Linked DNA regions of Cricetulus griseus. The protein of the gene in region 2 interacts with the protein of the main gene of each other region in a biochemical or structural test. Links are inferred from orthologs where the notes say so. Each region holds a gene or a part of one and is shown on either strand. Other genes may lie near its edges. The genes, in order: Plg and Thbs1.

Evidence for each region.
Region 1: the proteins of Thbs1 (region 2) and Plg form a complex in vitro, tested with the Homo sapiens proteins (2 studies listed by BioGRID). The link is inferred for Cricetulus griseus from reciprocal best matches to the Homo sapiens genes THBS1 and PLG.

What each region holds. Positions count from the first base shown.
Region 1 is NC_048595.1:288,586,473-288,590,301, forward strand, and holds part of Plg (plasminogen), read right to left. Parts: intron 3,110-3,829; coding exon 3,003-3,109; intron 1-3,002. UniProt on the Homo sapiens protein: Plasmin dissolves the fibrin of blood clots and acts as a proteolytic factor in a variety of other processes including embryonic development, tissue remodeling, tumor invasion, and inflammation. In ovulation, weakens the walls of the Graafian follicle.
Region 2 is NC_048599.1:60,393,153-60,396,653, forward strand, and holds part of Thbs1 (thrombospondin-1), read right to left. Parts: intron 3,459-3,501; coding exon 3,299-3,458; intron 3,165-3,298; coding exon 3,046-3,164; intron 1,479-3,045; coding exon 1,244-1,478; intron 1,058-1,243; coding exon 830-1,057; exon of another isoform or gene 814-829; coding exon of another isoform or gene 791-813; intron 660-790; coding exon 388-659; intron 63-387; coding exon 1-62. UniProt on the Homo sapiens protein: Adhesive glycoprotein that mediates cell-to-cell and cell-to-matrix interactions.

The DNA.
Region 1 (3,829 bases), on a different chromosome or scaffold from region 2:
ACTGATGCAGAGAAAAGTGAGCTAGATTTACATGACTCATCTAAGAATCATTTTCTCAGTAGATGTGTTACAGGACCAGAAATGACAGAGAGCTTAGTATGGGATGGTGTCAGAAATCTATGGTGGGGTAGGAAGAAAGGTGAATGAATGGGCTTGGGGAATCAGGCATGGCTGAGTCCAACACTGCGGTAATGAGATGATGATAATGGTGATGGTGGAGGCGATGACTGTGAGGGTGCTAGGCATCCTGTGATGGTGAGGTGGAAATGTTGATGGTGATACAGATGATGGTGATGGCAGAGATGCTGATGCTGATGATGTGATGGAGACACCAGTGGTGAAGGAGTGGTGTCTATCAGAATGACGACAATGATGATGGAGAGGGTATGGTGATGCCGTGGTGATGCCATGGTGATGATGGTGGAGACGGTGATGATTGTGGTGGTGATAGATTGTGAAACAGAAATGTTGCTGATGATGGTGACAGTAATAATTGTAACAGTGATGTGGAAGTACGGGGGTTGATGATGATAGTTGTGGTGGGGCCTGGAGAGATGGCTCAGAGGTTAAGAGCACTGACTGTTCTTCCAGAGGTCCTGAGTTCAATTCCCAGCAACCACATGGTGGCTCAAACTATCTGTGACGAGATCTGATGCCCTCTTCTGGCTTGCAGGCAACATGCAGAGAGAATAATAAATAAATCTTTTTAAAAAAATAGATAATAGTTGTGGTGTTGGTAGTAGTGATGGTGATGATGAGCCTGAGGCAAAGATACTGATGGTGATGATGGCAATGGAGATTATGGTGCTAGTGGTGGTGATGATAGTAATGATGATATATTAATTATAGAATAATATTAACACCCACAATGACCTTATAAAGTAGTATAGATGTGGACACTGATTCTTAAAGAAGTTAGCTAACTTCTCAGTGTCACAGGGACACTGAGCTGGAGTTTACTACCAGATACTTAGGAGTTTAGATCCATCTTTAACCGAGATACTTTCCATGTTTCTGTGAGCAAATACATGATCAAAAGGGAGGAATATTTCTTTTGGTTTATGGTTCCAGTGTAGCCTCTCATGGAATGGCAACAGCTGAGTTTGCAACTGTGCCAGGGGGCTGCTTGCTCACATCTTGGTGGATCAGGAAACAGAAAAAGGGTAGGACTGATGCTCACGGGTTACCTCCCTTTACCCTTTTAATTAATCTGGGCTTCCAGATGTGGGTGAATCTCCTCTCCTTAGTTAAACCCCCCTGGAGATGCTCTCACAGATATGCCCAGAGTTGTGTCTCACAGGTGATTCTAATCAAGTTGACAGTAAAGATGGATCACAAAGTTGATTTTTTTTCTGGCTCCTTAGCAGTCTTTCACCCAACATTCCAGAGGCCTGCAGAGGGACCTACTCTTCGTTCCTCCTGAGTATGAGTGGTCCTCACCCCCAGCTCTAGACCAGACCATGTAGCATAGGTCTGAGCCAGGTGTAACTGTTTCAGAAGTAGCTCATGACCAGAGTCTGAACTGTCCAAGCTAGGCAGGTAATTGTTGCCACTGGGAGAAAAGGGACATCCTTCATTCCCAATGGCAGAGCCAAAATTGACTCAACATGTGCAGCTGCAAGGAAGGCAATCCCCTGTGTGGCCAGAGTGACACCTAGGTGGTGCTGGACAGAGCCTAAGGCCTGGTCCATCACAAAAGCCAAGTGACTGCCTAGGCCATTAGGAATTCCCTTAATTTTGCTTAATTCAACTTAAGTTGCATTTTCTGTGGTTTACCAGAAGGAGTCCCATTGGCTACAACTGTGCTCCATCTTCAAGAGTGACATCTATGCCGCACGAACACCCAACACTTTGTTCACTTTCTCACTGCTTCCCCCACGACAGCCCTGCAGATGCTCTCAGTCTAGGACACTGTCAGTGGGATGTCCCTAATTATCCACAGCTGGTGAGTGGGAACCTGGGCTCCTCTCCAGGTCTCTGTAGTCAGGAACAGGCCTTTGTCCCTGCTGCTGTGTGACCACATGTCTCTGAGCACCAGGTTCCTCATTCACACAAAGGAGTGATTTTTTTTTTTTTTTTTTTTTTTTTTTTTTTTTTTTTTTTTTTGCAAAGCACTAAGAACAACCTCGCACTTCCTTGGGGAACATATCAGTTACCCAGGTTTCCCTTCCTTGACCTCAGTGCTACAGAATCATAAGTGTGCTGAGGAAGAGTAGAAATCAGTGCAATGAGGGGAAGCCAGGTTTGGGATGATGTAGACTAGTGGGTCTGCGTGTGTGTGTGTGTGTGTGTGTGTGTGTGTGTGTGTGTGTGTGTGTGTGTGTGTGTGTGTCTGCTTGTGCACAAAATCTTTCTTTGAAAAAAAGACTTCTCCAGAGGATGGAGCCAGCACACTCCCCAATGCTCCTGAGAGGGAGGCCACGTTTGTAAGGTGCTCTTACTGTCCCCAAGGCAGCTTGCTGGGTTAATTATCACTAGGCATATGCAAAGAGAGAAGGAGAGTCCCTAAAGTAAGTACACATCGTGATAGTGGGGCCTGCATGAAGTTTCTTTCCAGCCCTGACCCTATCAGCTGTATCTAGACAGCTGGGGCCTTTCTGTCCTCCCCACACTGTCCATTTGTCCCCTGTCTAACTGCCTCTCACACACATTAAGTATGTGAGTATTTGGGGGGACAATTAGTTTAACTACAACTTTTGCTGTTATTATGTTAACTCCATATTTGAGAACTCAAAATAGTAAAGTCACACGAAAAGTGCAGGCTAATTGGCAGGTTATGCCAAAGCCTCTCCCCTGAGGAAAAGATGCTTGCATTGCAACTGTAAGTTAAGGGTCTAAGGAGCAGCCCTTTTCCTCACAGTTTGGTGACTGTGGAGATGTAGCAAGTGCCCAGACAAATCCAGAAAGGAGCTGGACCACATTCACATGCAGGACTTTGCGCAACTTGCTCTAAATTGTTCCCTTTGTCATATAGTCTGTAGGTCAAAGCCACTTTATCTCACCTTGAGTGTCTCCCCAGCCAGTGATGTAACATAGTGTCCGGTCAGCAACCACGTAATTTGGAGATGGCAAACAAGCTGGAATGACTTTATTGGTGATGGTGGCAGGGCTGAAAGGTAAGCATCAAATGTTACAGCAACTGCTCTGCGAGAGGCTTCCACCCTTCACCTGCAGATCCCTGGCAGCCAAGCATCACCTGTCTCAATGTCCCAGCATTCTCTGAGCTGTTTTTCTTTACTTCATTGACATAGAACAATATAGAAAACCCTTCATCCTCACACTGCCCTACAGTGCCCTGTGAGCTAAATGATCAATTGTATGGGAGGGTATGTATGTTCATGCACATGTGTCCACACAGGTACCAAAGGCACACTTGGGCATTTGCTGATAGAGGCCAGAGGCTGACATCAGGAGTCTTCTTCGATTGCTCATCATTTGAGACAATATCTTCCACTGAACTGGAGTTCACTGAGTTGGTGAGACTGGCTGCAGTGAGCTGCAGGGATCCTCCTGTCTCTGCCAAGCTTTTTACATGATTCTGGAGATTTGAGCTTGGGTCTCCATGTTTGAGTGGCAGGCACTTTACCAACTGGGGCCATTCTGGGAGTGAACCATCTGGATGCCACTCAGCTACACTAAAACCAAAAGGCATTTGGCCTGGACAAGTAGTTCCACCTTTTGGGGCCCCAAATCTCCTCACCAGTTAAAATGGTTATAAGAATCCAGGCAAATGGTGTGCACCAAGCAAGAGTGGGTTCCAAGTAAGCTTTTTGCAGAAGCAAAATGGCCCAGTTTTCATCTGTATAGAGGTTCGTGGATTCACAAGCGC
Region 2 (3,501 bases):
CATCTGTAAGCAGTGAAATCCTTCCAGCCTATGTGACGAGGGTCATGCCACAGGGTGCGCACCTGAAGGAAAAGGACCAGAAAAGGTTGAAACATAGCTCCCTCTGAAGACTCACATTTCATTCCACAAGAAACTGCTTAAAAGGCACCGAGTTGACCTGTATTTGGAGAAGGGGCAGTAGGGAGTTTTCCCCAAGGTATCTCTGATTTACTGTGTGCCTTTCAGTGACTATAGAGCAGAGAGAAGACAAGGAAAGGAGGGCTTTGTTTGAAGTGGCTGAAGCCACCTGAGGATTTAAAGGGGACCTCTTGGCCAGAGCCCACTCACTTCTCCTGTTCCCCACCAAGGGCCCATCAACTCTTCCTTCTAGACTATGTGGCTTCTTACCTGGCCAGGGGTGTTTCCTGTGTGCCACAGAGCATTCCGCAGGTGCTCGCCAGGCCCTGTGGTGGAATTCACAACCTTTACAGACAGGCCTGAATATCCCTGAGCCCTTGTGGGGTTGGTGTCCCAGTAGGACTGGGTAACTTGTTTCCACATCACAACATAGAAGCGGCTGCTGGACTGGTAGCCAAACACAAAGCCAGCATAGTCGTCATCTCTCTCAGTGTTGATGAAGAAGGTACCACTAAAGTCCACGGCATTAAACTCATCATAACCTGGAAGGCAAGGCCAGAGTCAGGTTAAAGGCTGTGGCTTTTACAGGGTTCTCCATTATGTTCCCAGATCTCCTGAGGTCATAGGTCCTATCCATAGGTTCAATGGTCATAATTCATATTTGTCTCCTTAGGATGTATTCGCCTATGGAACTAAGGAACTCACTACTCACCTACAGCAAGACCAGGATCACAGTTTACAGTTTGGACAAGTTCTTTGCCCTGATGGCGTACAACCCAGTTAGGGTCATTCTGGGAGGTTCCTTTGGGATCCAGAGGAATCATCTGGAACCGGCGGAAATCGGTTTCACTGATGTCAACATTCTCAGGACAGATGTCATCAATGTCTGGCACATTATCATGGTCAAAGTCATCTTTGCAGGCATCACCTCTGCCATCACCTAATGTCAAAGAAGGCAAAAAGTTCAGTGAAGTTCTGAAATGCTCTTATCAGTGGCTCACAAATTCACCATCTTGTCAAAAAACTGGTGTTGTGTTACTTAACCCTCTCATATGCTGTTTTTATTTCTTCCGTTACACAGCTAAGGTGTCAGTTTTGCTATTCAGTGGTGATCACAGTGACTCACCATCAGAGTCCTTCTGGTCAGGATTGGGCACCAGCCTGCAGTTGTCCCTGTCATCAGGAATGCCATCGTTGTCATCATCGTGGTCACAGGCATCTCCTTTGCCATCTTTATCATGGTCAGCCTGGTTGGCATTAGGCACGTAGGGACAGTTGTCCATATTATTCTGATGGCCATCCTCATCAATGTCCTGATTGTTGTCACAGGTGTCCCCAATGAGGTCTGAGTCAGAGTCCAGCTGGAAGAGTGACATTAATAGTGGGTGAATCAAATAATAACACACTAGGGTCAAAGGTAGCATCAATGCCCCCGGGGCAGGGAACATTCTCCATGTTGGACATAGACAGTGGGGATCATTTTTACCTCTCTATTACTGCAGAAAAACCATCAAGTTTTAAAGAGGGTTTTATCTTGAAAATTGAGGTAATAGTTAATATTTGAAAATATGCACAAGAAGGCTTTCTAACTAGCACAGAATTATTTGTAAATCACTCCAGGGAATGCAATGTTTATTGTTTATACTTAAATTTTAAATGAAATCCCCTTATGTACATTTTGTAATTTCCCATTAACACTAACAGCATAATTATTGACAGGTCAACTTATACTCCAGGCCTTGAATCATGGCAGCTGTCTGTCTATGCAGACTGTCTGCATAATATGGATGAGATTAATTTTTTTTTTATTTTTGAGGCACTTGGCTTTCTACATCTATTCAATAAAGATTTCATCTGTTGGCTCAGATAAACTCAAACTCTAAAATTTTTTCAAAACAGATTTTCCAGAGTACTTAGGATTCAATATGTGTGAGGTGCTTAGGGACTGTTTATATAAAAACTGGATGTTTTCTTGCCAGTAGTCAAATTCTTTGCTTTTGAGATTTTTCTAGGGTGTTTGAATTTGCTTATAAAATTTAATCTGAGGAATCAAAGACCCATTCAGTGAGGTTAAATGCTATTTAATATGTTGAATGTCTGGCAGACCCAAATTCAGAGCAGGGATCTCAGTGCCAAGTGACCAGCGGAGACTACAGGGCACTGAGGGTTTCCTATGATGATAGCTTGAAGTCATCTTGCTTTGAGCATGATTCAAGTTCACAATTAGGAGAAACTTAAATTCTCATTTCTATAATCCTTAAAATTTTCTGTTTAAGTGTCTGATTGCTAAACCTTTCAGAACCATCATATTAGGAAAAAGAAAGCTTGCTGTGTGTGTGTGTGTGTGTGTGTGTGTGTGTGTGTGTGTGTGTGTGTGTGTGTTTTCCCCTAGAAACAATGTACAATGACACAAAGTGAAACACTCTGGTCCTGAGAACTTGTGTGTTGACACCCATCCACACCACCCGGGGCACCTACAGCTGCACTGCTGGGAGGAGCCTGAGAGGCTGGGTTCACTGGGAGACTGGGAGAAATCAGACTTCCACCAGCTTTGAGAGGTTTTTAGCTTCCTGATTTCTTATCAGACTCTGCTGCTAGCCACAACACGGGCTTATTTCACTTCTGGATACTGCCTTCCTCTGTTTTACATGCATCAGATACAACTGAAACTGTGGGTCTCAGATCTTTGTGTAATTTATCTTAATGATGGCAGCAAACAAGACTGAGGCCACAGAACTTCCATCCTAATCTCTGGGAGAGTTTGCCAAGGGCTCATATCAGGCAACCTTTACAGGCATGCATTGCAAATGGGGGATCCTGAGAACCCCAGTGATGGGAGGGTTTGGAGTTTATTGAACTAACTGTTTTAGAGGTGTACAAAGGGAGACACAATTCCTCACTGAGAGATTCTGGAAGGAGTTCACCTACCTGGTCTGGATTGTGTTCCAGGGGGCAGTTGTCACACTGATCTCCAACTCCATCCATGTCGGTGTCCCTCTGGTCCACATTGTACACATACTGGCAGTTGTCTCGTTCATTGAGGATTCCTAAGGAGGGGGGTGTAGATGGGAGCTGAGTCCTTCAGCCACATATATTTCAACTAAATCACACATTAAGCCACTGAGTAAACTGTTTGTGTCTCTGTAAACTTTTTAGGCTGCCAAGGCAGGGAATGCCTTACCATCTCCATCGATGTCCACAGCACAGGCGTCTCCCTCTCCATTGTTGTCTGTGTCTGCTTGGTCAGGGTTGTGGTTGTAGGGGCAGTTGTCACAGCGGTCTCCCACATCATCTCTGTCATAGTCATACTGGGCTGGGTTGTAATGGAATGGGCAGTTGTCCTGAAAAGAGGAGAAATGGACACTCTATGGTGCTGCCTGGGAA